Rattus norvegicus: one gene and its partners. The protein of the gene in region 6 interacts with the protein of the main gene of each other region in a biochemical or structural test. Links are inferred from orthologs where the notes say so. Each region holds a gene or a part of one and is shown on either strand. Other genes may lie near its edges.

What was found.
Region 1: the proteins of Ubc (region 6) and Ptpn23 form a complex in vitro, tested with the Homo sapiens proteins (2 studies listed by BioGRID). The link is inferred for Rattus norvegicus from reciprocal best matches to the Homo sapiens genes UBC and PTPN23.
Region 2: of the proteins of Ubc (region 6) and Vcpip1, one has a biochemical effect on the other in vitro, tested with the Homo sapiens proteins (3 studies listed by BioGRID, with this or other methods). The link is inferred for Rattus norvegicus from reciprocal best matches to the Homo sapiens genes UBC and VCPIP1.
Region 3: of the proteins of Ubc (region 6) and Znrf1, one has a biochemical effect on the other in vitro, tested with the Homo sapiens proteins (2 studies listed by BioGRID). The link is inferred for Rattus norvegicus from reciprocal best matches to the Homo sapiens genes UBC and ZNRF1.
Region 4: the proteins of Ubc (region 6) and Morc3 form a complex in vitro, tested with the Homo sapiens proteins (2 studies listed by BioGRID). The link is inferred for Rattus norvegicus from reciprocal best matches to the Homo sapiens genes UBC and MORC3.
Region 5: of the proteins of Ubc (region 6) and Zup1, one has a biochemical effect on the other in vitro, tested with the Homo sapiens proteins (4 studies listed by BioGRID, with this or other methods). The link is inferred for Rattus norvegicus from reciprocal best matches to the Homo sapiens genes UBC and ZUP1.
Region 7: of the proteins of Ubc (region 6) and Usp1, one has a biochemical effect on the other in vitro, tested with the Homo sapiens proteins (4 studies listed by BioGRID, with this or other methods). The link is inferred for Rattus norvegicus from reciprocal best matches to the Homo sapiens genes UBC and USP1.

Annotation. Positions count from the first base shown.
Region 1 is NC_086026.1:119,258,876-119,262,910, reverse strand, and holds the start of Ptpn23 (tyrosine-protein phosphatase non-receptor type 23), read left to right. Parts: upstream 1-1,235; 5' UTR 1,236-1,266; coding exon 1,267-1,350; intron 1,351-4,035. UniProt on the Homo sapiens protein: Plays a role in sorting of endocytic ubiquitinated cargos into multivesicular bodies (MVBs) via its interaction with the ESCRT-I complex (endosomal sorting complex required for transport I), and possibly also other ESCRT complexes.
Region 2 is NC_086023.1:14,315,830-14,319,882, reverse strand, and holds the start of Vcpip1 (deubiquitinating protein VCPIP1), read right to left. Parts: upstream 2,801-4,053; 5' UTR 2,684-2,800; coding exon 1-2,683. UniProt on the Homo sapiens protein: Deubiquitinating enzyme involved in DNA repair and reassembly of the Golgi apparatus and the endoplasmic reticulum following mitosis. Necessary for VCP-mediated reassembly of Golgi stacks after mitosis.
Region 3 is NC_086037.1:56,404,228-56,408,527, reverse strand, and holds the start of Znrf1 (E3 ubiquitin-protein ligase ZNRF1), read right to left. Parts: upstream 2,801-4,300; 5' UTR 2,165-2,800; coding exon 1,741-2,164; intron 176-1,740; exon of another isoform or gene 1-175. UniProt on the Homo sapiens protein: E3 ubiquitin-protein ligase that plays a role in different processes including cell differentiation, receptor recycling or regulation of inflammation. Mediates the ubiquitination of AKT1 and GLUL, thereby playing a role in neuron cells differentiation.
Region 4 is NC_086029.1:46,652,692-46,656,191, reverse strand, and holds part of Morc3 (MORC family CW-type zinc finger protein 3), read right to left. Parts: intron 2,764-3,500; coding exon 2,709-2,763; intron 1,055-2,708; coding exon 891-1,054; intron 1-890.
Region 5 is NC_086038.1:31,348,024-31,351,523, forward strand, and holds part of Zup1 (zinc finger-containing ubiquitin peptidase 1), read right to left. Parts: exon of another isoform or gene 1,583-3,500; coding exon 1,461-1,582; intron 1-1,460. UniProt on the Homo sapiens protein: Deubiquitinase with endodeubiquitinase activity that specifically interacts with and cleaves 'Lys-63'-linked long polyubiquitin chains. Shows only weak activity against 'Lys-11' and 'Lys-48'-linked chains.
Region 6 is NC_086030.1:36,899,046-36,903,299, forward strand, and holds the start of Ubc (polyubiquitin-C), read left to right. Parts: upstream 1-1,454; 5' UTR 1,455-1,521; exon of another isoform or gene 1,522-2,084; intron 2,085-3,254; 5' UTR 3,255-3,257; coding exon 3,258-4,254.
Region 7 is NC_086023.1:118,706,056-118,709,555, reverse strand, and holds part of Usp1 (ubiquitin carboxyl-terminal hydrolase 1), read right to left. Parts: intron 2,640-3,500; coding exon 2,519-2,639; intron 2,149-2,518; coding exon 2,044-2,148; intron 1,319-2,043; coding exon 1,158-1,318; intron 1-1,157. UniProt on the Homo sapiens protein: Negative regulator of DNA damage repair which specifically deubiquitinates monoubiquitinated FANCD2. Also involved in PCNA-mediated translesion synthesis (TLS) by deubiquitinating monoubiquitinated PCNA.

The DNA of each region.
Region 1 (4,035 bases), on a different chromosome or scaffold from region 6:
ATCTCATTCCCTAACACATACCCACCACAACTTAGGATACTTTCGTTTTCAAAATAGTTCTCAGATGTTGCTCAAAGTGAGCTATCTACCCACTTTAAAAAAAAGGGGGGGGGGGTTGGGGATTTAGCTCAGTGGTAGAGCGCTTGCCTAGCAAGTGCAAGGCCCTGGGTTCGGTCCCCAGCTCCGAAAAAAAGAAAAATAAAACAACAATAACAACAAAGAACCCTTTCATGCAAAGCCACAATCACCGGTCTCCTAAAAGACTACAAAAGGCCACATACTACTTTCTCCCGTCTTTAAAATTTGTTTGAAATAACGTATTGTTACGTAGCCCAGTTCAGCCTTGAAATGACCTAAGTCTCTTCCCTCAGTCTCTAGGGTGTTGGGATCATAGGAGCCACATAGCACGAACGACTCCATTATTTATGTCTAAAATTTAGCAACATACACATAGCTTTAAAATTCCTGTTTTACAGATGTCTGCAGAGACGAATACTTGTCACTGTATAGTTCCTTCCAGAGTCACAGCCTTCTTAGGTGTTACCTTAGCTGCTAAATGTACCCTACTAAAAATCACGAACTCAGGCCGCAGAAGGTGGTGGTGTGGAGCAGTGTCCCTGCCCCCTCACCGCTGACAGATGAATCTTTGACACTTTTTTTTTTTTTCGGAGCTGGGGATCGAACCCAGGGCCTTGCGCTTCCTAGGCAAGCGCTCTATCACTGAGCTAAATCCCCAACCCGAATCTTTGACACTCTTAGCCTGGGTTCTACCCCACCATACAGTTTGCATGGCTCAAGGCTGTCTTCACGTCCCCTCTCCCCAGCATCACACTCGCCATTCGCTAATGCAGCACCTGTCACCGTCCTTCGCCGCTCTGAAAATCTGGAATTACAAATTCATGGGTAAGTTTCTGAAGGACCCTTCCAAGAGGAAGAACAGCTTTACGCAAAACAGAAAATGCCAGCGAAGCCTAGAGCTTAGTGGAGGAGATCACTATTCCCAGAAGCCCCTTCACCGTGGATTGGCTCTTCCCTTCACCCAAGACCCTTCGCGCGAGAAGACTGAGCATGCGCAAAGAGGACAGCGCATGTGCAAAGGACTACCGGGGGGGGGCTGGACTGCACCTCCCAGCAGGCCTTGTGGAGGCTGCGTCATTCCGCGTGACGAGCAGCTTCCGGCGTGGAGGGGCGGGGTTGCGCGCGCGGCTGAGGCCGCTGCTGGACCTGGGAGGGGAGCGGCCCTGGGGCGGCTAAGCGCTGTCCGCAATGGAGGCCGTGCCCCGGATGCCCATGATCTGGCTGGACCTGAAGGAGGCCGGTGACTTTCACTTCCAGTCTGCTGTGAAGAAGGTGAGCACACCTTCGATGCGCATCTCCGTCGTCTGCCCGCGCGTGACGCCCCCTGCGCGCCTGTCCCTCCCCGGGTTCCGTCACAGGTCGGGCCAGGCGTTTTCCCTTAGGATGGCCCTCCCCTCCCGTGCCGGCACATCATCCTTATCTCCGACTGGCACTGCATCCTTGCGGGAACCCTTTTCCCGACTTCTGCATTTCTACCGAGGTTCCTTGCTGTGACACTCCTGGACCCAGCTCTGCCCTGTCCCTCCACGTTCTGGGAGCCCCCGTGGGGAGCGATGGCGGTCCAGGTTGTGCAGAGTCCATGCTAGGCCCAAGCCTGGGTGGGCTCCCAGTTCACGACCGGACTAGGAAAGAATGTGTGTTTAAGACCGGAGCCCCGGTGGCCCAATAGGCATATCCTGCTCCAAGAGTGTGTAATTGAGTGTGTGCCTGTGTGCAGTTAGTCTGTGTAACCCTCCAATTCTGTATGGGCTCCTTACAAAATTTCTATTCCAAAGTTCCTTTGGACCAAAAAACACAATTTCTTGTTGATAAGAGGGCTTGAGTCAGGCTAGGGCTCTAGTGGCATCCTATGAGTCATTGTACTGGGTAGAGCAGTCGTTTGGAGTTCACTGAGGGTTTCTGTGGTGAGGTCAGGTGTGGTGATGTGGAAACTGGGTAACCTCCGAGAGAGCTACTGCCTTAGAAAGAGCCCCAAATAGCATTGAGGGTCGTAGCAGAAGTGGACAACTGGGAAGCTGTGAGGAGTCTTGGGGATTTAGCACAGCACCCATTGGAGTAGACAATCTCGAATCCTTTACCACTCCGTGGTGTTTAGGGGAAGAAGGAGAAAGAAAGAAAGAAAATGGGTTTGGAAGTAATTTCCGATGGAGTTGCCTCCCATATTCTCTTCATTATCATCACTTCCACAGTTCAGGCCCTAATTGGTTGCATGCTTGAGAATGGGGTGAGGTTCGTTCAGGTGCTGGGTGTGTATGTGTGGTGGTGGTTCAAGTGATGGGTATCAGAGCCAGAGACTGGCACAAGTGCTCTTCCACATAGATACACGCCCCCCAGCCTAGACTTCTTCCTCTCCCCTACGACCAGCATCATAGTAAGCCAATTGATCTATATTTACAGAATTTTGTTACCCATCTTCTGTTTAATGAAATCGTAGTGAGGTGAATTCTTCTAAAATGTATTAAAGCTGAGGTAGATACTCAGTATCATACCCGAACCCTGGTTATTCAGAGTCTTACAGAGTAAAGCCAGTATTTTTAGTTTCCCATTCGGTATTCTCTCTGACATAGCCTGATTCTTTAATCTTTTGTCTCAGTCTTGTTGTATGTTATATGTTTTATCTGTGCTTGTGATACAGGTATTCCACGTTCTGTTAATAATTATTACTTCCTGTTTGCTTTAGGTTTTTTTCTCCTTGTTGTGTCTTTGATTGTGGAAATCATTTTACCTCAGTGGTTGCTATTTCATAACTGTTAATTTTGCTACTGTTAGGAATCATAGTGTAAATATCTGATATGCCACCCCCAAAGGGGTTGAGGTCTACAAATTGAAAACTGCTATTCTACCTAAAAGAGCTCTCAGTTTTGCCCCATGGACTGGTGATGGGGTCGTCGTCTTTAATCTCTGTGAATTCGTTCCATTCAACTTTCAAGGTCTGGTTGAAGCTCTGACTTCCAAAAAGCCTTTCTTAATCTGGATTAGCTTTGTCCTTTTCTGGATTTCCTTCCCCTCTCCCTTTCTTTCTTTCTTTTTTTTTTTTTAAAGATTGATTTATTTTATGTATATGACAAGTACACAGTCGCTGTCTTCAGACACACCAGAAGAGGGCATCAGATCTCATTACAGATGTGGTTGCTGGGAATTGAACTCAGGACCTCTGGAAGAGCAGCCAGTGCTCTGAGCCATCTCTCCAGCCCCCCTCTCCCTTTCTTTAACAACAGTTCTATGTATGTGCTATTTTTAGAGTGTGTGTGTGTGTGTGTGTGTGTGTGTGTGTGTGAGAGAGATGATGATGTGTGGGTTCCAGCATGACAGAATATTTGTGTGGAGGCCAGAGAACAACTTGCAGGAATTAGTGTCTCCTTCTACTAGGCAGGTCCAGGGAATGAAACTCAGGTGGTTAGAGCAGGCAGCAAGTGCCTTCCTCCCCTGACCCTGCTGCTCCGGCCATATGTATACTAGGTTTTCTTTGTTTTTTCAAGGCACTGTCTCACTGTGTAGCTTCAGCTAAGCTGGAACTTACTATGTAGGCTACGAAGGCCTCAAACTCACAAGCCTGCCTTGGCCTCCTAAGTGTTGGTATTAAAGGTGTGCTCCACTACCCCCTGCTCCTATATGCGCTGTGTTTTAACCCCATATTCAGTTGGAGTACCAGAGGGCCCTCTCCATGTTCCTTTAGCCTAATACCCACTACCTAGGAAAATGTTTCTCAAATGACTGACAGGCTAGAGCAGCGGTTCTCAAACTTCCTAATGCTGCCCCCTTAATATAGTTCCTCATGTTGTGGTGACCCCCAGCCATAAAAATTTGTTACTACTTCATAGCTGTAATTTTGCTGCTGTTATGAATCATAAAGTAAATCTCTGATATGCAGATGGTCTTAGGCAGTCCCCATGAAAGAGTCATTCAAATCTCCCAAGGGGTCGTGAACCGCTGGTCTAGAGGGAATTTAAATTAGAT
Region 2 (4,053 bases), on a different chromosome or scaffold from region 6:
AGGAATACATTTCTTTGTCAGCTTGCTCCTGAAGTTCCTTGGAGGACAGCTTGCCAGTAACAGCAATCTCTTCTTGTCTCACAGTGTGGGCTGAGTGTGCAGCAGTGGATGGACCACCTTCTGCTTTGCCTTTTAAGATCTCTATGGTAATTCTGTCACCATGCTGCAAAGGAACTGGCTCCTTTTCCATTCCTGCTTGGGGTGGCATTAACTCTTTAGGAGGAAAACCATATCGAATACACTGTAAATATGGAGGAATGTTGAACTCTCTGGCTATACTTTCCTGAAGTTCAAAAAAGGTTGTTGAAGACTTAAGGGTAACCATGGACTGCCGTCCATCATTAGTTGTTATGCGAATCTTCTTCTCCTTAGAAGTGGTAGGTGAGTAGGGAGCCTTCGTGGGGGTGGCAGGTGCAGATGAAGGCCCATCACGAATAGTACTTGGAGAAACAGTTCTGGGTTGCCCCTTTTGCTCTTGTTTTAATTTCTCTGTTTTCCGTTTCTGCATCACAGAAGCTTGTTCTGTGATGTTCTGTTGAATAGTTCTTTCAGTTTTACTCATGTTTAATTCTTCCTTGTGCAAAGTTTTTGTTTTCTGTCCAGTAAGAATAATTTTAGTTGGTAGCTGAGACTCCAATTCTTGTCCTTGCACATCTCCAATTCTCTGAGCATGAGCACCATCTATATTTACAGGAGTGTAATCGTCAGGATTTTTTTTTGCAGTCTGATGCAATATAGTGTGGACAACTTTCTGAACTAGGATCTCACTCCCAAATTCACCTGGAAAGTGCTTGGTAACAAGTTTCATTGCAACATCATAAACATTACTATTCAAAGATGGATCACTTTCATACTGGAACCAATATACTGTTTCTCTGACTACTCTTCCTCCCCACTCCAAAGTGATAGGAAAAGCTTCTGGAAGGTTGTCATATTCTTTACCTTCCCAAAAGTGTTTGAATCCACAACCACATTTGCCACCAGTAGACCTAGAATTAGTTCTGTCTCCATCCAAATATACAATAGAGCCATCGCCTCTGACTCTTCGCACAGATGTGCCATGGCACCAATTACAAGCTGTTAGATTACTCAATCCATAGTCTGGTAACAGAACATCTTTCACTGGATCATATGAACAAACCAAATTGTTTAAAGGAAAGCTGTAATTTTTGTCAGGCCTCAGCTGTCCATGAGTACTTTTTGCCAGGTTATACAGTTTTCCTCCTGGAGCCAACCACTCAGGAGGGACATGAAGTTCAGAAAGGGCACCACAAAGCAAACACTTGTGAAGGCGATTATCCATTACTGCTTTTTTAGCAGCTGCTGTAACTTCCTCAGGCTGAACTCCTATCACCCCAGTCCTTCTGTAGAAATACTGATGTACATCAGCAACCAAACTAGGATGGATACCATGTTTGTCCATAAAGACTTCCTCCATAGCAGCAACCAACCTAAGTAAGTACTTATCCTGCAAACTTCTGTCTCCTCCAATAACACAACCACCATCCTCCTCAAGCTTGATGTACTTTTTAATAAGGTCCTGAGGCACACCCCATGCTTTAGGTAGCAAATTCATGGGTAGTTTGGGCAAGGCAGCCCCCTTTATGCCTACCAAGGGAATATAATGGTTTCTACCAGAGCTACTCCACGCAATACAGATTGGCTTGTTCAAATGACCATCTCTCCCAGTGCACTTCTCTGCAGGTATGAGCCCAGGTAGAAAGGTGGCTGAATAATCACCAGAGCTTCTCATGCCACTGAGGGAATCTAAGAGAATTATGGGACGATGTAACACATTGGCAAGGCCAAATATGTGGATATTCCTCAGGCCTAAGGGGACACCTTCAGGTGGCACAAACAGAGGGTCACATTCATTGATAATGTCCTCCCACTCTGCAGCATCAATAAAGTCATGAAACAGGGCTTGATATCGGGCTAGGTGCTGCTGAAAGTGCTGCTTCAGATTCTCCCTCAGGGCATGCCAGAAGAGCTCTCGGCCTACTAGAGCCCTAGACACAGCATGCACTAGGCAGTGTCCATCCCCATCCACATGCACTGGAATAAGGCATTCTTGACTTTTATTGGCCCGTTTGATATCCTCGAGAGTGTCATGCAAATATAGGAGGCTTCCAGATCGGTCCTTGCCATAGCCCACTGTGTTGACGTGCTCTGGTTCGATGAGGAAGGCCCGGTCACCGAGTAACGCGCAATCGAACAGTTCGCCTTGGTTCATGTCCCGGAGAAGCTTGGCGCGGCCCGTTTGTTTGTCCATTCCATAGCGTGCCAATATGGGCGACAATAATTTGCAGTGGTAGTTGGAGAGGCCCATCACCTTTACCAGTTCCGTGTTCTTCTTGGGAGCCCCCGTCACCCCGAGTAGCGCGTTCCGCAGCAGATTGTGCAGCACTACGTCCGGGTCGGTCACCTCCTCCACTCCCAGCAGCTGTTGCTGCTCGTGCCGCTGTCCGCACTCGGTACACTCGATGCTGACAGAACCTGAGGCCGGGAAGAAGAGCCGCGCCTGGCACTTGGGATCCGGGCAGCTCCCGGAAAGGATTCTCCGGTCCCTTCGTTTCGAAAGGCCCCCCGGAGTAGCCGCCGCCGCCAGGGACGACGAAGTCTGCGGAGCCTCGGGGGGAGGCGGCGGCGGCGGCAGCGGAGGAGGCGGCGGCGGCTGAGACATCGCTCTCGGCTCTCGCTCTGCGTCCCAAGCGACCCTCAAAGGCACATAGCCAGACCTCCGCCGGCCCGACGAGGTCTAGTCCAGGCCCAGAGCGAATGGCTTTCCTTTCCCTACCAGTTCCTCCTCCTCCTAGGCGAAGGCGGAAGCGCCGGACGTTGTTTCTCTTCTCACTTCTCCACAGCCTTAGCCGTTGCCCCGAACGTAACGGCCACCACCCCACCCCGCACTCACACTCACTCACTCTCGCTCTCTCCCTCAGATACAGACATACACGCCCTCACTGAGACTGCGCAGGCGTGGCTTCCGCACTGCCCTCTGGGAACGAGAGTCTTCCGGCTCCCCTCTCGCGAAGGAGTGTTAGGCGCTTCTGTCCACAAAGAACTTCAAATACCGTGATGCAAAGCAACTCGACGCACGCGGGAAGGAGGAAGAGGAAGGCACTCGGAAGGTGGGGGCAGAAAGGAAGTCGATGACTCGCGGGGATTGTCGGTAGTTGTATTTTTAACTGGATCCCTTTTGTAGTTTGCTCCCCCCTCCCCGGTCCCCCATTCTATGGCCCAGGAGAAAGAGTCAGAGAAACCGCATTTCCTAGGATGCTATGGGTAGTGTCCCGCCGTACTTTCCCCTTGCGCCGAAAGGAGTGTGCTTGGAGGAAAGAAAAGTGAAAAGGAATGGCGTGGAAGAGGGTCTAAAGTCCACCACCGCTGCTTGTCCGGGTTAAAGGTCCTAAGAAAGTGGGAGAGGGAGTTTTCTATGAGGCTTTTTTTTTTTTTTTAGTATATTTATTGTTCAAATACGGTATCATTTTTGTATTACCACTTAGCTAGCAAGTGCTATAACTGAGCTTCTACCTTATTCGTAATTTAATCCACATTTACATTCGTAAATGTACTCCACTGCTCTAATGTGAGAGAAAGTTAACAAGAAGTGAGCAACAACTGGTGGTCAGTGGCAAAATCTGGCTGTTTTGGTTGGATCACAAGAAATTTAAATTTATTATATTGTTGTTGTTGTCGTTAAACATGTGTTTGAACAGTGAACAACAGTTCCTAAGAAGTTAGATTTTTAAGGTTTTAACATCAAAACACCTTGAGACAAATTACCTTCTTGAGTCCAGAAAACATTTGTGTTTCTATATCATTCAGTAAATGGATCAGCAATTGAGCCCAGGCAGACCTCAAACTCCCTATAGTGGAGGATGACCTTCAATTTTCTGTCCTCTGCCTCCACCTCCCAAATGTCAAAGTCAGAGGTGCATACCACCACGCCTAGGAAATGCAGTGCTAAGGGCTGAACATGGGGCTTCGTGCATGATGGGCAAGCTAACTGAGATATAACCCCAGTTTGCATAATATGTAGGAGCTTTTCAA
Region 3 (4,300 bases), on a different chromosome or scaffold from region 6:
CTACCCCCATGACTGGATGAGAGTGTGTGTGTGGGGGGGGGGGGCGCTAAGGAACCTAACGATAGAACAAGGAAGAAGTTTCTATTAAGAGTCAGACTTAAGAAATCTTACCAGAGCGCAAGGCCCTGGGTTCGGTCCCCAGCTCCGAGAAAAAAAAAAAAAAAAAAAAAAGAAATCTTACCAGAAAGACAACTCTTTTTCTCCCTCCCCCATACAAGCCTTTATAAAGTTAGTTTGCTACACTCAAAATTGTTTTAAAAGCAGACCAATAATAGTCCACTTACGAATGCAATCACAAAAGTCTCACAAATACAGCTGAGCCTTCTGGACTCAACTATTTAGAGAAGATTAATCCCAACATGCCTAACGCATACCGAATGCCTAAAGGGTACCAAAGGCAGACATGCCTTGTATCTGACCTCCCACAGTTTAATTAACATCAGAGAGGCTCTAAACTAGCCAGTATAACCCACCAAAGTTACTTCAAAAATTTAAGATTATGGAATTCACCAAAAGAAAGAAGGAAAGATTAAAAAAAAAACCCAAAAGACAAACAAAAAAAAAATCTACCTTGTTTTGAAATTAGCTACAACAACATTAGTCTCACAGGTAAACCTTCCATAATGTACCCTAAGGGCAGGAGAAAGCTTTCTCCTGCACAGTATCTAAAATGTCCCAACTCAGGCAAAGGAGTCTGAAAACTTAACTGTTTCACTTGAACTAGTAATTAATTAACAAAAAGCAAAAAGCAACCTCACACCCCTTTTGACCAATTTTTCAGCGCCTGCCCTGGCCTCTCAGGACAGCCAAGCAGACAGACCTGTTTTCCTCTAGAAGTCTCTGCCAGGCCTTTTTTTTTTTTTTTTTTTTTTTTTTTTTTTGCCCTACCAGTCAGGGCCTGGGAAATCCCCCTCCAGCCTTTTCCTGGCCTGTCACCAGAAGTGCACAGAATGAGTTCATCTAGATCCTTTCAATCTTCCTCTTCCCCAGTCATGTGCCAACTGCTGGGCCATAACACCCCACCTTTCCTGTGCTCTATGGGGGAAAAAAAAAAAGATGCAGAATCACGGGAAGAGCAAGCACTTAGCAGGAGAAAAAAGATGGAGGGATGTGACAGTCCCTGAGCCAAATCTACTGCATGCAGCAAGAGAGACCAGAATCCTGGCCCTGCAAACCCAAAGAAGGAGGCTTTCCACATAGCAGACCACACCTGTCTAAGCCACCTCCTGTTCCATTTAAATCAATTGATACAGCAAACCAGTCGGGTGGAAAAACTAACCATCTCCCTTCCCTAGCAAGGCTAAGAACCCTAATCCAAGGATCGTTTGTCCCTAGTTTTATTTCTTTTCTCACTCTTTGTTTAGGAGACACTACCTCCCTAGCCAGAAAGGTAGGCATCATGCTGCAGTGGCAGAAATGAAGAGTGTCAGACAAGAAGACCTTTGAGGATCATGATGCTAATAAATGCGACCTCGATGGGCAGGTTTCACTCAGCCATCCACAAGTGAGCACACGCCTGCAGTCCTAAAACACCCGGCTCCACAAGCCTGGTAGGCAGCTTTTCCCCTAGGCAGTAGTTATCTTATTTGATCCTATTCATCCTCTGACATGGAGGGAACCAGGGGTAGGGCAGGAGTTAGCTTCATACCCATACCTTAGCATACTAAGAGGTTTCAGGCGGCCCGACGCGCCCTCCCTTGCACTCCACCCTTCAAGGCCTCCGTCAACCCGAGGACTCACCACTGTGCGAGCTGAACCACCTGGGTGCGATGTGCAGAGGTAGAGCATCCGCCAGCGAGGCTCGGGAGCCCAGGTACAGCATCCCGTCTCTATGGTGACCGCCGCCGGTCTCTTGGTAACCATTGCCGTGGGCATAGGTGGAGTCCGACGTGGACCCTCCGCCGCCCGGCGCCCTCTCTGAGTCGCCGGTCCCGCGGGAGGCGGGGGTGTAGAGGCTAAAGGGCACCCCTCCGGTCGTGCTGGGGTCCATGCCCATGCCTGCCACCGAGCTGACCGAGCGACTGCGCAGCCCCATCGCCCCGCCGCCCGTCCGGTAGTGCCCAAAGTGGGGCGCCCCTCCCGGCGGCGGCACGGCGCTGTCATCGGTAGAGACCCCCGGGAAGGGGCCCCGAGACCGGGCCGCCGTGCTCTGCTTGCCCCCCATGTTCGCCGGGGCCCGGTGGGGCGGGAACGTGGAGGCCGAGACCCTCCCCCACCACTCAGAAGCGGGTGGAGAGCCGGGCGAACATAAAGGCGGGGGGTTGGGGGAGTCACAAAAGAGCCCCGAGGAGAGAAAATGAAAAAAGGAGAAGGGAAAATCCTCAAAAAAAAAAAAAAAAAAATCCGCGGGGTGGAAAAGGCAAGCGTGCGGGGACCCCAAACTAAGAATTTCAAACTGTCCAAGCCGAATGCATGTTCTTCTTAAGGTCCGAAGACGCGCGGTCCAGAGCGGGCGCCTCGCGCCACAGGCCGCCCCCGGGCTCGGGAGCCTGAGGAGCCGCAGCGAAGATAGGGAGGCGCCGGAGGAGGCCGCTCGCCCGCCCGCAGCAGGAAGCGGCGAAGGCTCGGAACGACGCGCGCGTTCCCCGTCTCAGGACTCGACGACCGGCGCCGGCGGCCCGCACTCCTCCAGGCTTCGGGAGGGCTCGCGGCGGTGGGGCAGCCAGGCGGAGCTCTGGAAGCCGCGGTCGCGTGGTGTCGCGCTCCGGCTCCAGCCGCCGCCGGCCCCGCCAGCCAGCCGCGCCGCCCCGCTCGGTCCCGGGCTGCGCTCGCCGGCGCTCCTCGCCGCCGTGGAGACAATGGAGGGAGGCAGAGCGCACGCGCGGCCCGCGCCCCCTCCCCCCCCGCCGGGTTAACCCCTTCGCGGCCCCTGCGGCGCGGCGGCTGGCTGCGGCCCCGGAGGTCCCCACCCACCCACCGCCTGCGCTCCGGGCCGGTCGGAGGACCGGCGGCCTCCAGCCGCGGGACGTCTGCGACAGAGGCCAGACTTCCTCTGGAACCAAGCACTGCTGGAGTCGCGGCGAAAGTCGAATCACTATATTCAAAACGAAACCCTTCGTGGGGGGAGGGGCATCGACGGTTTTAGCGGGTAGGGAGGAAACACCAAGAAAGAAAACCAACTAATAAGCCTACCTGGGTTTGAGGGTCATTGGGCGAGCTCCCCTCCAGCCACAGACCTGCCCTCACAGCACCCTCTGGTGGATGTGCGATCCATTCCTTTGAAGGATCTCCATCCAAGGACCCCAGCCAACACTAGAAAGTTTAGCATGAGGGGTAGGGGGTAGCTTGGATCCAAACATCAGGAGTCTTAACATTTGGGATTAGCGGGTCTAAATCGATTCCTTAGGCTAGAATATAATCCTCAAAATCAATAGATAAAAAAACAAAACAGTAGAATAGAATCATGCAGCTAAGAAGTGGGTGTAGAAACTCCTTGCCCAAGGCCGGTTGCTGTTTTGTTTACCATGTATTTTGAGGGAGAGCCACAAGGCAAGGACACAGTACGCAAATATTTGTTGACCAAATTGCGTTTTGCAACAGAGACTCACCTTTCCAGGTCAACCCCAGTCTTTCTCATATATTCATTTTGCTTATTTATTGAGCAAATAATTTTTCAAGTACTCAGCGCTGAGCACCGTGTCACTAGCCTAACTTCCTCTTGTCACTCTGTCAAGTATGCCAGGTACTTCCAAAAATGGAGTTGGAGAGACATAAAAAGGGCTACTAGACCAGTCTCTTCCAGCGTGACCTGCCTAGAAGGCCACAGGAAGATGTCCCGAACAAAGAAAATTAGTTTCATAAGAAAAACTAATGCAAAAAATATCATGGCTGTGGTGCACACTTTAATACCACCGTTTGAAAGGCAGAGGCAGGGAGATCTCTCAATTTCATGCCAGCCTGGTCTACAAAGCAAGTTCCAGCACACCTAGGGCCACAGAGAGAAATCCTGTTTTGAAAAACTGTGTGTGTGTGTGTGTGTGTGTCTGTATCTAGGGGCTGGAGAGTTGGCTTAGGGCTTAAGAGCACTTGTTCTTGCAGAGGCCCCATATTCATTCCTGTGATGATTCACAACCATCCATAATCCCAGATGCGTGATATACATACATGCATACAGTCAAGGCATCCATCTATAAAAACTTAGTAAATTTAAAATCTTGTAAATGTAAATATAAAACAAACACACAGATAATATCCGGAATATTATCTGTGTCTCAATCAGGAATTTGTGCACTTCTAAAACTGAACTGAGTGATCTGAAGAAACTAAAGAAACTTCCAGAGGCTGGAGGGATGGCTCAGCA
Region 4 (3,500 bases), on a different chromosome or scaffold from region 6:
GGGTCTCATGGACTCTGCTCAGGCTGGTCTTGAATTTGCTATGTAGGCAAGAATAAATCTGAACTCTGGCCCTCCTGCCTCCGTCTCCAACGGCTGAGTTCACCCTCACAAATGGTTTCATACAGTGCTGGGACCTGAGTCCAGGCCACTACCCTATTAACCAAACTTACCTCAATTCTACTCTGAGACTGGGAAGGCTATACAACCGCTCAGAAAGCCTGGTCCTTTCACCTCCCAGTGTCCAGCAGTGTGACGACTGGCTCTCCTAAATCCTAGATTTCACGCAAGTGTGTGCTTTTTTCATCTGAGTGGGCCACCACTTAGCACACTACACACAAAACAGCCTGACTAAGTTAGGGATAACTAACAAATCCACGGACCATGCCTGTCTTTCTGTATTCCCGCTCCACCTACTCATCCAAATATATTACATGCCCAGAGCGTGATTGGGCTATGTGAACAAGTTCATGATGCTTGTAAGATACTGTCATCAACATAGCAAGAGGTAGTGACTTGATCAAACCACATAATACATGACACGGACGCATGCATGCACGCACACATGCACACAAGCACACCATGTGCACAGGGAACCTTGTTGTTCCTCAACAGCAGAGTCTTGTAGGCTGGCCGTGGACCCTCACTGGCCAGCATGAACTTGGACTCTGGACTCCTCCATGTCCTAGAGGCTGAGGTGACCTTATGTGCCAGCGTTCCCCACTCAGTCCATGGTTTTAGCTGACTTAAATACATGGTTGAAGAAGGTAGAGGGGATCCTGGAGCCCTTTCACAGTTGCGTGACTGTAATTTCTTAGAATTCCCTAACTGCTGTAGAAGAGTCCCAGGAAGGCCCGAGAGTGTTCTACATAAAGGTTCCTTGCACCACTGACCTGTTGCTCTCAGGCTCAGGCTGGGCTGAAACAAGGTGGTTATTTATGATCCTTGCTGCAAAGGGACTCGCGACTTCAGAAATATGTGGTCTTGGAACACTTTCCTTCACCGGGGAGAAGCTTGGACTTGAAACACTTGTCTGATACACTATCTCATGATTAATCTGTTGGAGAAAAAAATGGATCTTAGAGGAACTAATATTCTTTTTTTTAAATTTTTTTTTTATTATTTTTATTTATTTGAATACACACTAGCTGTCCTCAGACACACCATAAGAAGGCATCGGATCCCATTACAGATGGTTGTGAGCCACCATGTGGTTGCTGGGAATTGAACTCAGGACCTCTGATAGAGCAGTCGGAGCTCTTAACCACTGAGCCATCTCTCCAGCCCCCAGGAACTAATATTCTTAACGTAACACTTGCCAAACATAAGATACATACAATCTATTTTCCTTTTAGCCCAGAAAATACTGAAAATTAACCTAGGTATGTGGGTTCTCTTGTTAATTCAGGTGGTCGAATGGAGCAGTAAGCTGACGGAGCCTGCACCTGAGGGCAGCAGAGTTTCACAGCTTAACAACTGCACATGGCACACGACCCACTTTGTGTTTGCATGTGTGGACTCACGCTGCGGAAGAGAGAGGCCAATGCTACCCTACCTCCCTTCCCCATTCACTCTCCACCTCACGTTTTGAGATAGGGTCTCGCTGAACCGGTCACTTGCCCATTCGGATAGAACAGCGGCTACAACTTCTGGAATATATCTGTCTGTCTCGGCCTTCCGAGTACTGGGATTGCAAACGTTAACTGTAAGCATGGGGCACTAGGGTCTCAGTCTCGGCTCCTCACGTGTGCGTCAGTCATATGCACTTTTGCCAACTGAGCCTTGTCTCCTGCCTCCAATATCGCATTAAGAGGATGGATACAACAAACACACTCGACAGCCCACGAGTGGCCTACAAAGGCGAAACTGACTTGCTACACTGTGACTCTAAAATACACACAACTCAGAAGAGAAACAATTTCTGAGAAATTGGAATAAAAGTGAAGATAATACATAGCACCTTCAAAAACAAAAAGTAATCCCATTACTTTCTCCTACAGACCCTATTCTCACCTGTAACACTACACTAAAAAGCACTGTGAGGCAATTTTAAGTAAGCCTATATATATATCCCCATGCAGAACAAAACTTCCTGCCCAAGAAATAGTCACACTCCGCCAGAGTCCTACCACAGCCTAGGGCTAAGCAAATAAGCAAAACCCACACGGCTCTCTAATGACAAGAGTCTTTTAAATTCCAGCTACCTGTATACAGATGGGGAGAGCAAAGTCAGCCTCCTAGCTGACTCTTTTTTTTTTTTTTTTCTGAGCTGGGGACCGAACCCAGGGCCTTGCGCTTTCTAGGAAAGCGCTCTACCACTGAGCTAAATCCCCAACCCCAGGACCATACTCTTAAAGAAAGTAACCCACAGGACTGAGAGTAGTTCTCTCCACTGTCCTAGACCTCTGGTCCTAACAGTCAGTCCTGCACTCAGGGGAAGAGTGACAGACACGTCCCACTCATGGTTGTTCACTCCACAGACATGTAATGTCTTCATTTCAGTGAGTGTGAGTTCTGATAAGATTCCTAAAGAGCTGTCTTACCTCAGCAATACCCCGACAAATGTCAACTCAACAGCCTACGAAGCTGTCGGGCTAGGAACACTCAGGGAAAAGAGCATTACCAAAGTTAAGTAAATTCCTTTCCATTCAGTATCAGGTAAATCAAGTACTTCTAAAAATTAAGACAGATATAAAATGAAGATTCATTACCCGAGGGAGTATTCGAGGGAGCATTTCCGGTTGTCTGATCCTGAATTTCTCCTTGCTGCTTTAAAAGAACGACAAAAAGAAGCACCCTGATATACCTGCTTTTATCATGTCACACCCTGTTTTTAAACGTTTACAATTAAGTAGCTTCAGTTCCATTATGGTCACTGTGAGCATTTAGATTATGGAGTAGCCCCACCTTACAATCTCCGTAAGACCCAATGCCTGCCTGAGCCAAAGCCCATGAAGACTGCCTGAGCCAAGGGCAGTGAAGACTTTCATTACTTCCAAAGCCGCAGCCAAACTTAAGTAAATGCAACACGAGTGGCAGGGTTACAGCTAAGTCAGCGAGGTGCCTGCTGAGCAGACGTGAGGACCAAGTTCAGATGCCTTAGAATCTAAGGAAAAGTTGGGCACAACAACAAAGTGAGCCCAGCACCGTGAGGAGCTCTGGTATTCAATGGCTGGCCAGCAAAGTTCAAACTCGTTAGGTGGAAACCCTGCCTCAAAAAATAAGACCAGGGCAAGCCAGGTGCAGTGGTCCTCACCTTTAATCCCGGTACTTGGGAGGCAGAGGCAGGAGGATTTCTGTGAATTTGAGGAGAAGCCTGGTCTACAAAAAAGCAAATTCTAGGCCAGCTGGGGCTACAGAGTAAATCATCTGCACCTCCCCCCCACACACACACACACTCTGGGGGTGGGGGGGCCCAAATGAGGAAGAGAGTGACAGTGACCCCTGGACTCCACGTACACACACATACATGTAACACACACAAACACAAAACATAGAACTAC
Region 5 (3,500 bases), on a different chromosome or scaffold from region 6:
CTCCGAAAAAAAGAACCAAAAAAAAAAAAGAACTCTACAAGTATTGTCAGTACAAATAACTGTAGTTCACAAATTAGAAATGGAAAGGGAGAAACATTAACATTTTTAAAGCATTAAAATCCCCCACATGCTGCAACTTTAGTCCAATAGATACTACATTCACATAAGGAAAATGCGCCCTCAAAAATCATAAACTACTAAACTCTGAACATCCACTAAAATACAAAATGTCTTCACTGTGTTCTTTAAAGGCACTTAGGACTAAGGAGAGAGAGACACACGACCTTTAAGGAAACAGCTTCTCAGTATAGCGCCCCACCTTCATGTCAGCCGACATTTGCACAGCTTCACCATTGCATAGCCTGACAGGCACACTTCTCTACCTAACAGTTGTCTAATCCAGGGAAAAATCACGAAACACTTTCATTTTTCTTCTTCATTTAAAGACAGAAAATAAGGAAAAACAAACAACAAAACCCTGTGAATTTCCTATAAAGACTTTTACATAATTTATCTGAAATGATTATTCTAATGTCTGAACACTGTTTTAGGGTTTTTTTGTTTCTTTGTAATGTGCCCCAGGTTCGTCTCAAACTCAAGAGATTCATCTTCCTCTGTCTCTCTAGTGCTAGGATTAAAGGCATGGGGCACCGCTTTATTTTTTTATTTTTACTGTGCACAAGGGTGTGTGTGTGTGTGTGTGTGTGTGTGTGTGTGTGTGTGTGTGTGTGTGTGTGTGTGTGTACATACATGCATGAGCATGTGGCTGTGTGGGTAACTGTAGGGCGCCCTCCAGTGATGAACAACAGTACTGCGCATGCGCAGGTTTTGCACCTGGCGTCAGTTGGCCGGTAATATGCTAATGAGGGGGCGGTGCCATGCTAGTGAGGTGATTCATTCTCCGCCAATCCCTGGAGGACAAGTAGCAGGGGTGATAGTGGGGTGATTCGTGCTCCGCCAATCCCTGAAAGACAATTAGCATAGCCCCAGCCTGTTGTGTATATAAGGCGAGCGCTTTTGCCGCTCGAGGTCCCTGTATCAGCAAAGAGGTGGTCCTGCAATAAAGGCTATTGAGAAGAATCAGACCGTCCTTGGCCTTGGCCGAGGTGGGCGCGACAGGTGACAAGTAAGAATGGGGCTGCCTGGAGCTAAATTCCAAGCAGTTAAAAGATGCCTGAAGTAGGGGCTAGAAAATGAGCTCAGGTCCTAGGCCACAGCAGTCTTAACCACTGAGCCATCTCTCCAGCTTCAAAAAATAACTACTTTTAAATGTTTTTCCCCCAATACACTATAAGGTACACAAAAATATTTTTTACAAAACATGGACAGACTAGTACAAGTCTTTTTGACTGTGAATCTTAGCTTTTAATGGCAGAGCCATTATTTCTAAACCTTGTTAGACATCTGACAACGATACTTATAAGAACTCTACTCAATAAAACTGTTACTAATCTTTGTACCTGCAATTTCTGAAACTCTTCCCTTTCTTGTCTTGATTCTTCAGATTTCCTCTTTCTCTCTTCTTCTTGCTGAAGCTGGTGAGCTAATTCTCTGTCACTAGAACACTGGACTCTGTCCATGCCTATTGGAGAGGGACAACCCGAATGAGTCAGTGCTTAGGCTCTAACAAGCATTTCTCATTAACTAGCAATTGTGAACATCCTAACACCTTTAGGGAGAAAAACAAAGGGTGAGCGGTTGAAAGACCCTTATCATTGATATCTCTGAACACAACTAATGGAAAGAAAAAAGTAATAAATAATATAAAATATATATTCACAACCTCCAACTGTTTCATTACATTACAGTTTTTACCCGAACAAGCTGAATAATTTTATAGCATAATGCCATGCTTCCTCTCTCCCACTGAAACTCAGATTCTTTAGTCAATGGCTTGTATTGTATTGTAATGTATTGAGTCTTGTTTCCTAAATTCTTTACTGGTCAGGGTCCTCCAGTAACAGGACTGAGGGCAAGATAAGAAAACACCACACACAGGCGTGTGTGTGTATGTACACACACACACAGAGACAGACAGACAGAAAGATATAGAAAACCTTATTAAATATCACGAATCATACGGGAATAGATCACATAATGATACAAATGAAAAGTTCTTGATAGCCTGAGACACAGAGAAACCAGTAGTGAAAGTTGAAAGTGCCAGAACCAGTTTGGCAAAATCAGATATCCCAGTGTGAGGTCAAAGGCTCAAAATTTCTGGTAGGGATTATCAGAGTTCCAGCATCCAAAAGTCAGACATCCTGGAGTATAACCCAGGGAGCAGCTGCACCCAGGGAGCAGCTGCAGGGAAAGAAAGCCCCATCCAGAAGGAGGAGCCAAAGTGATTCTGCCACTGCTTCGGCTTTCCTGGTCCACCTATAGTACTAGCGACACTGGACACTACTTGCCCACGCTGAATGCACATCTTCTTCATTCTGTTTGCCAACGCACCCATCAGTTATTCTGAAAACATCCTCAGAGATACACCCAGAAGAAACAGTTAGGAGTCTTCTAGGTACTCCTCAATTCAGAGACAGTACAATGCACACACCTGTTGATTAACCCATTTTACACCTTCCCACTGGTTCTAGTTTCCACTCTTGGGCATGTACTGCACAACTGATTTTTAGCATGCCCTGAGACTGTTTCATTGGTTTATAGAATACAATACAAAGCCTATCCCTAAAGTAAGAATTATCAGACATTCTGCTTTGAAAAAATTACCCCTTCCACAGCATCCTCTTACAATCTTACTCAAAGGAAGATAGCTGTGCTGGCTAGTTTTAGGTCAACTTGACACAAGCTAGAGTTTACACTTAGCCAGAGCTACATAGTGAGACTCCATCTCAAAAAACAATACAACAGTAAAGAAAGACCGAGTGCAGGCAAGTCTGTAGTGCGTTCTGTAGTGACTGGTGTTGGAAGGCCCAGTCCTTGTAGGTGATGCCACCCCTGGGCTGATATCCCTGGGTGCTCTAAGAAAGGAGTCTGAACAAGTCAGGGCAAAACAAGCCACTCAGCAGCACTTCATGGCCTTTGCATCAGCTCCTGCCTACAGGTTCCTGCCTTGAGTCCCTTCCCTGAATTCCCTCAGTGGTGAACTGGAAATGTTTGGATAAAATAAACCCTTTCCTGCCCAGGTTACTCTTGTTGGTAGTGTTTTATTACAGCAACAGGAACCCTAAACAACGACAGTGGCATGCCAACTGGGGTAGACAGCAGAAGACCACTGACGTGAAATAATCTTCCATCAATATTCTACTAATTTGGGGTTGGGGATTTAGCTCAGTGGTAGAGCGCTTGCCTAGCGAGTGCAAGGCCCTTGGTTCGGTCCCCAGCTCCGAAAAAAAGAAAAAAAAAGAAAAAGAAAAAAAAGAATATTCTACTAATTTTCCTCTTGTGGTAATGAGCAAAGCAGGTACATGATGCATAGAGATCACGGTTATTGGTGGTAAATCATCGAACGCTAAAATCTCCTACTTTACCAGGAGCTGTCT
Region 6 (4,254 bases):
CTATGTCATGAGTCCCAAGGTAGCCAGGGCTACTACATATGGAGACCCTGTCTCAAAAAAAAATCTCAAAAAAGAAAAAGGTTGAGATTAAAGGCATTTAATAGTGTGTGTGTCTGTGTGTGTGCATGCTACATGTATGTGAGTGCCCCTAGGGACATTGGACCTCCTTGAAGCCTTGAGAAGCTTTGGAGTCAAAGGCCTTTGTAAGCTAGCTGCCTGACAGGGTTGCTCAGTATTGAACTCTGGAAGAAGACCTGCTCTTACTGCTGAGCCATCTCTCTACCCTAGGGATTCAATTCTTACCTTCTAAGGTCTCAGGCCTTACATTTCAAAAACCTGAATAGGCTGAATTTTACAAGTGGGGTATATGTTTGCTGTAATCTGAACATTGTACTAAACGTGTACTTTTTGTGTGTGTGTGTGGGTTTTTGTTTGGTTTTGGTTTTTTTCAAGACGAGGTTTCACTGTGTAGCCCTGTAGACCAGCACTTAGAGGCAGAGGCAGAAGGATCTCTGTAAACTTGAGACCAGCCCGGTCTACGAAGCCTATTCCAGGACAGCCAGGGCTATACAGAGAAACCCTGTCTGAACAACAAAAATTAAAAAAATAGGATTTCGATGGGTTCAGTCTCAGAATATGAACAACATTTTGATATTTTGACCTTTCCTTAGTGACAATCGAACAGAAAACAGAACCTTCTCGAATCCAAGGACACCAGACATAAACAGACTTAGGAAGAATCTGGAAAGATCTAGTGCCCACTGGGCTTCAGATCTAATGCCAACAGTTTTCAAGAACTGTGAGGACTGACTGCTTTTCTTGACGAATTCAGATTCGTTTTCCCAAACTGGGGAGAGATCCCCCCCCCCCCCATTTTTTTTATAAAAAATAAAAAAAACCGTTGTCATTTCCCTTGTTATGAGATTTGCACAGTCATCCATCCTGTCACCGTGCCAAAACAAAGAGGGCTGGGCACAGTGACGACCGACTCGAGGTGAGGGAACTTAGGAGCCGAGGCCACCAATGGAATATCAGTGTAACAAGAGCCAAAGCCCTAGGTCCCCCTAACAGAAAGAGGCGACTGGGACCCTTGACGGAGGGGGTGGGGGGTAGTTGGTGGGTCTCCGGCTCGCTTAGCCACAGTGCGCCTGCGCCGAGGTCCGCTCCGGCTGCAGTGATCCCTGCCGGGTTTTAGCGCCGATCACGTCACAGGCGCTGATCCCTCCGCGGGGTCGCGCAAGGTCGCAGTCCTGCCCCTCCACACAAAGCCCCTCACTCTCTGGCCTTCGCAGTGGAACAACCCCATGAAGCGATCTTAATGGTTTTAGCCTGTCGCTTCCATTGCAGAGATTGGACCGGGCATTAAAAAGTAGTCCCCAACCGCATTTCCGCGGAGGAATCCAGGGGTGGGCGGGGCTCCCGATGACTATATAAAGAGACGCCTCGCGTCCCGCAGCTAGTTCCGTGGAGACCGCCAGTTCCGTCTCTACTCTTTTGTGAGGACTGCAGCCAACACCGCTGGTGAGGAGAAAGCCGCCACACCCGGCGGGGGCGGGGAGGCGGGAGGGGGCGAGAGACAGCCCGCGGCCCGGACGTTTGGTTTCCGTGGCCCGCGAGGACGGCTGCTGTCCTGAGGCCGAGGACCGGGCGGCAAGATGGCGGCCAAATGGAAGCCTGAGGGGGAAGACGCGCGGTCCTGACGCGCTGGACCAGGTTGGGGGAAGCAGGCCCGCGAGGCCGCTTGCCGCCGGTTAAGCCGGGAACGTCAGAGGCTTGGGTTGGGAACTGAATTCGGTTGGCGCGCTGTAGGAGCCTCTGATGTGAGAACTGTGGGTATTAGACGGGAGGGAGATGTCGGTTATCCGGAATTCGTCGGTTGCTAAATACAGGAGTGCGATTGGGAAGGGAGGGGGAGGGTGGCGGTCCAGCCTAGCCTATCGCCCCTGTGACGTCGCGGTTTGTGTGGTCTCACAGTGTATAGTGACGATGGCTTTAGCTTTCCCTCAGTTGTAGGACCGGGTTTGGGTCTCGGCCTCGGGTAGCCTCTCCAGAGTAAACAGGAACCGGAAATTCAGAGGGGGAACGTGAGCCTGACTTACATTGAGTCTTTCCTTGTCTCGCTACACGGATATGGCTGCGGAAACTATTTATTAGACAAGGGTGTTTTTTTTTTTAAGATTTATTTCTTCAGGGGTTGGGGATTTAGCTCAGTGGTAGAGCGCTTGCCTAGGAAGCGCAAGGCCCTGGGTTCGGTCCCCAGCTCCGGAAAAAAAGAACCAAAAAAAAAAAAGATTTATTTCTTCAGACACACCAGAAGAGGTGTGATCAGATCTCATTACAAATGGTTGTTAGCCACCATATGGTTGCCGGGAATTGAACTCGGGACCTCTGGAAGAGCAGTCAGTGCTATTAATCACTGAGTCATCTTACCAGCCTGACAAGGGTTTTAAACTTTAAAAAAATCTCTGCCTCTACCACCCATGTGATGAGGTCCAAGGCCAGTGCCACTTACCCCAGACTACTTTTTTTTTTAATAGAGTTTATTCAGGGCATGGGAAGGGGAGTTGAGGAGGGAGTAAAGCTGGTCGGAACATGTGGAGAGAGAGCAGGGAGGAGAATGGGGAGAGAAGGGACAGATGGGGTGAAAGTAAGAGGTTAAGAGGATAAGAGTAAGAGTAAACTACTGTTTAATTGTTCAGACAAAAGCTTGGGGGAAGGAGAGTTGAGGCAGGATCTCACTGTCTCAGGCTGACCTCCCAATTCACGAAATCTGCCCACCTCAGTGTCCCCAGTGCTGGGAGGAAAGATATGAACATAGTTCAGTTTTGTAGTAGTAACTGGCTCTATCTACCAGTCGGGACCTGAATCCGGGATTTCCAACTATTGCCTTCTAAGCTCTTGAGTTTCTGACTTCTTTGGAGTGGGTCCTCCTAAACCCCCCTCCCCCAAGGTGAAATGTGGGTCAGGCTTTTCTCCAAACTGCAAATAGTCAGGGACTGACTTTCAGCAGTTCCGTACTGAACGCTCCACCCTGCCAACTTGGTAATAGACAATGCCTAATATTCATAACTTTGTTCCATCAAGACTTTTATTTTCTTGTTGGTTTTAGGGGGTAAAATTCAAAACAGTCTGTGTAGCTATTTAGACTAAACTACTAGCCACCTCACAGATCCAACGGTTGGTGGCACTCTAAAGAATTTGTGTCATTCCTGACCTGTTTTTTGGTTTTTTGTTTTTTGTTTTTTTTTCCATAGACAATGCAGATCTTTGTGAAAACCTTAACTGGTAAGACCATCACCCTGGAGGTCGAGCCCAGTGACACCATTGAAAATGTCAAGGCAAAGATCCAGGACAAGGAGGGCATCCCCCCTGACCAGCAGAGGCTGATCTTTGCAGGCAAGCAGCTGGAAGATGGCCGCACCCTGTCAGACTACAACATCCAGAAGGAGTCCACCTTGCACCTGGTCCTTCGCCTCAGAGGGGGCATGCAGATCTTTGTGAAGACCCTGACAGGCAAGACCATCACCCTGGAGGTCGAGCCCAGTGACACCATTGAAAATGTCAAGGCAAAGATCCAGGACAAGGAGGGCATCCCCCCTGACCAGCAGAGGCTGATCTTTGCAGGCAAGCAGCTGGAAGATGGCCGCACCCTGTCAGACTACAACATCCAGAAGGAGTCCACCCTGCACCTGGTCCTTCGCCTCAGAGGGGGCATGCAGATCTTTGTGAAGACCCTGACAGGCAAGACCATCACCCTGGAGGTCGAGCCCAGTGACACCATTGAAAATGTCAAGGCAAAGATCCAGGACAAGGAGGGCATCCCCCCTGACCAGCAGAGGCTGATCTTTGCAGGCAAGCAGCTGGAAGATGGCCGCACCCTGTCAGATTACAACATCCAGAAGGAGTCCACCCTGCACCTGGTCCTTCGCCTCAGAGGGGGCATGCAGATCTTTGTGAAGACCCTGACAGGCAAGACCATCACCCTGGAGGTCGAGCCCAGTGACACCATTGAAAATGTCAAGGCAAAGATCCAGGACAAGGAGGGCATCCCCCCTGACCAGCAGAGGCTGATCTTTGCAGGCAAGCAGCTGGAAGATGGCCGCACCCTGTCAGACTACAACATCCAGAAGGAGTCCACCTTGCACCTGGTCCTTCGCCTCAGAGGGGGCATGCAGATCTTTGTGAAGACCCTGACAGGCAAGACCATCACCCTGGAGGTCGAGCCCAGTGACACCATTGAAAATGTCAAGGCAA
Region 7 (3,500 bases), on a different chromosome or scaffold from region 6:
TCTTGTAACCCCTTCTACATACTGTAACTAATGCTGGCAGTGTTTCACTACACACCAGAACTTGCTGTGTTCTTCTCTAGCAGTTAGTGTTTATTTCCACAAACTATTCACAGATGTCACAAGGTTAAATTACTTGCTAACAGGGTCATAAAGCTAGTTAAGATGCAAAATGAGGGCTGAAAACCAGCTCTCGGTCACTTTTTTATAATGTCTCTTATAAAAGGTAAATAAATGTGTCTACATCTACTAAAAAACTGAATTAAAAGACTTTCTTTTAAGACTTCACAAAAATTCAATATTATTTATGTGGGTGTGCATGCACACATTCACAAGGGCTCCTGTGTGTGTGCGTGTGTGCATGTTTGTGTGTGTGTTTGTATTTTTAAGCACATACAAGTATTTGGAACCTGCAGTCTTTATGCATGGTACATTTTGTACACAGATCTACAAGCTGTGATCTGAAATTCCTTAGGACTATGTGTGTTTAGGGATTCCTGGTCTATGGGGTACTGAAGTGGTAACCATTTCAAACTTCCCCAAGTCCCCTTCAAGATCACACTCACTTCCTTTAGGTTGTCCTGTGGAGCCCTGGTTTGTTGTTATTTTCCCCAGCCTATATAACTTGAAAAGAATCTCAGTGGTAGGCTTTAACTAATTTAACTTTTGATTTCTTTTGTGTCTTACACTCATGTTTATTCAGAAAAACACTTGGAGCCCTAGCATTAACAAGTCTGGGAGTTCAAGCCTCAGTATCATAAAAATGAGTAAATACATTAATATGTATTTACCGCCAGAGACTGATTTGGTGCGAAGCCCATGTACCTGTATTTTCTTTTTTAAAGAGTGCCGTATAGAATATAAGTAAAACTACATATCATCTACATATAGGCCAGTATTCTAATCAAACATAAGTCTTTTGACAGAAAATTTAGGAAGACTATGAGTATAGAATATAAATAGGCTAATATAAATATGAATCTAATTAATTTAGATTTTAATTTTTAATTTTAATAACCAGTTCTGAAAGCCTGGGGTGTAAAAGGCTGTGGCTGAACTTCAGCTGTCTTTTCCTTTACTCCTGTCTGTTCATACATCCCTCCCTTCTGAAGACAGGAGCAAACAGATAACGGATCGCAAAGCTGTGTTAGAGCCTATACCTCAGGGTGTTAAGCAGTCGCCTTGGCTGTGTCGCAAGTTCATCTGTATATTTTTCTGGATTTAAGAGAAAACTAGCTTGAAGCTGTTCAACTGAGATTATTAAGGACTGTAAACTGCATATAAGCTCATAACTTGCCAAAGGATCTTCTTTGCAGCTTCCCTATCAAGAAAAAAAACCACAATTTAATTTATAAACATTAAATAAGTGCTTCTTTCCTTCTTGGTCTCACTGAACAATATAGCTTTTCTAAATTAAATTTCAGTACAGCAAAAATTCTATTAATCATGCAAGTCAACTTTTTCCCTTCAGTTTTTTTCTTAGTTGCTTTCTTCATAGACAGTGATTTTCTAATCAGTTTTCTTTTAACTTATTTACTTGCAATTAAGGCTGGGGGTATGACTCAGTGGTAGTTTCACTTGCATATGTAAGACCATAAATTCAGTCTCCAAAAACCATTAATGTCAATTACCATAGAGTGGATAATAACCTGGTACTCAAGTGAGACACTTGTGATTATGAGGGGCAAGTGACAAGTCTAATTAGCAATGCATGAAACACTATACCAGGCTATGAATAATCTGGACAATATACAGTTCTGAAAAACTTAACAGAAATAATCTGTCACCATTGTCCTGAACAATCCTGAGTCTCTATCACTTTTTTATTTAACAGTTAAACATAATCCCTCCCATTAATTTGTTGTTGCATGTGTGTGGGGGTGTGGGAGTTGTCGAGACAGGGTTTCAATGTGTGGTCCTATCTAGCCAAGAAATCACTATGGAGACAAACCAGGCTTAGCTGCCTCCCAAGTGCTGGGATTAAATGTGTGCTTCACTGTGGCCTCTCTCTAGCTGATTTTGTTTCTTAAATCATCATCTTTTTACCTTATCCTTCTGAATAGAGTCATCCTTCAGAGCTTCTTTCTTCCTTGAAATAATATTAAATAAGTGCTTCACTCCAGCCTTGAAGCCAGGACAAAAGTACAACACCTACAGAAAGGATGTTGTTTTAGTACTGTGCAAACAACACACCTAAAATCACTAATGCCTTCTGTAGGGCACATTTAATGTTATTACCTAAAACTGACACTAAGACCCTCTTCAAACCCTCTACCTCACCAGTAGTAACCCATTGATCGCTCAGCAGCACTTAGCTCTGAACCTATACATTATTAGTCAGATTAAGATTAACAGGACAAAAACTAACAAAATAATGAAAGTTTTTAAGTTGACATAGTACCAGTAATCTTTGAGTATTATCATGGTCTATTCTGGTTGATTTACAGTTTATAACAAAGTATGGACAAAGTCATTTAATAATCTAGAACTTTCAAAAACATTAAACATTACATCATAATACCTGAAGAATACTATTCAGATAACAAGTGTTGCCAAGGTTATTCAGTCCCACAAACGGTAACAAGTTTTCTCTCTTCTCACAGCTTACTGGTGAGGACTGTGCAGCAGGAACAACTTGATCACTGTGAATATAGAGGGAAGAAAAAGTATGAAGATGTAGCACCTTAAAGTGGAAATACTGCTTCCCTAAACTTAACATTTCTACAATAGGCAGATGACCACTGAGCTATATACCCAACCCTGAACAATTATTGGTGAACACACATGGGACAACATCCACTTTTAGTTACCCAATAGACTGTCCATTTGCTGAACAAAGAGCTACCACAGACTCCAGCTAGGGCAATTTGGAATATTCACTTTTATTCTCTTTTAATGTAAAAACCATTTTGTTGTAATGAATTCACAAGTAAAAACATCATGCAGCTAGATTAAAGTAGCCACTCAAACAAGCCCTTGTCCAGTCCTATAGGACAGCCATTCTGAAGCCATGGAGTTCCGCTTAGAGCTTTATACATCTACTATCAATACATTTTTGTGCACTTAAACACCATAAAAAGGGGGTATGTGGGATTAGACTAGAAAAACAATTAGCTCTGTATCCTCTCCTGTGACCGGATGCACTTGTACTTCATGTGCATTCCTTCCCTCCTTCCCTTTCTTCTTAATGACTAAAGCATTTACATGCATTTAAAAAAAATCATCTTTAAAATCTAATTTCAAAATAAATTGGCAAATGTCCTATCTCTAGCAGATAGAAGTAGTTCTGGGGTGTAACAGGAAGTTTTACACACACTACACTGCAAAAATATCAAGCAGTGTTTACCCTGTTCCTACTATACACTTTGTTTTTGGTTTATTCTTTTTTTCCAAGATAAGATTTCTCTGTGTAGCTCTGGCTCTCCTGGAACTCAATCTGTAGACCAGGCTGGGGCCTGTCTCCCAGGTGCTGGGATGAAAGGCAGGAGCCACCACCACTGAGT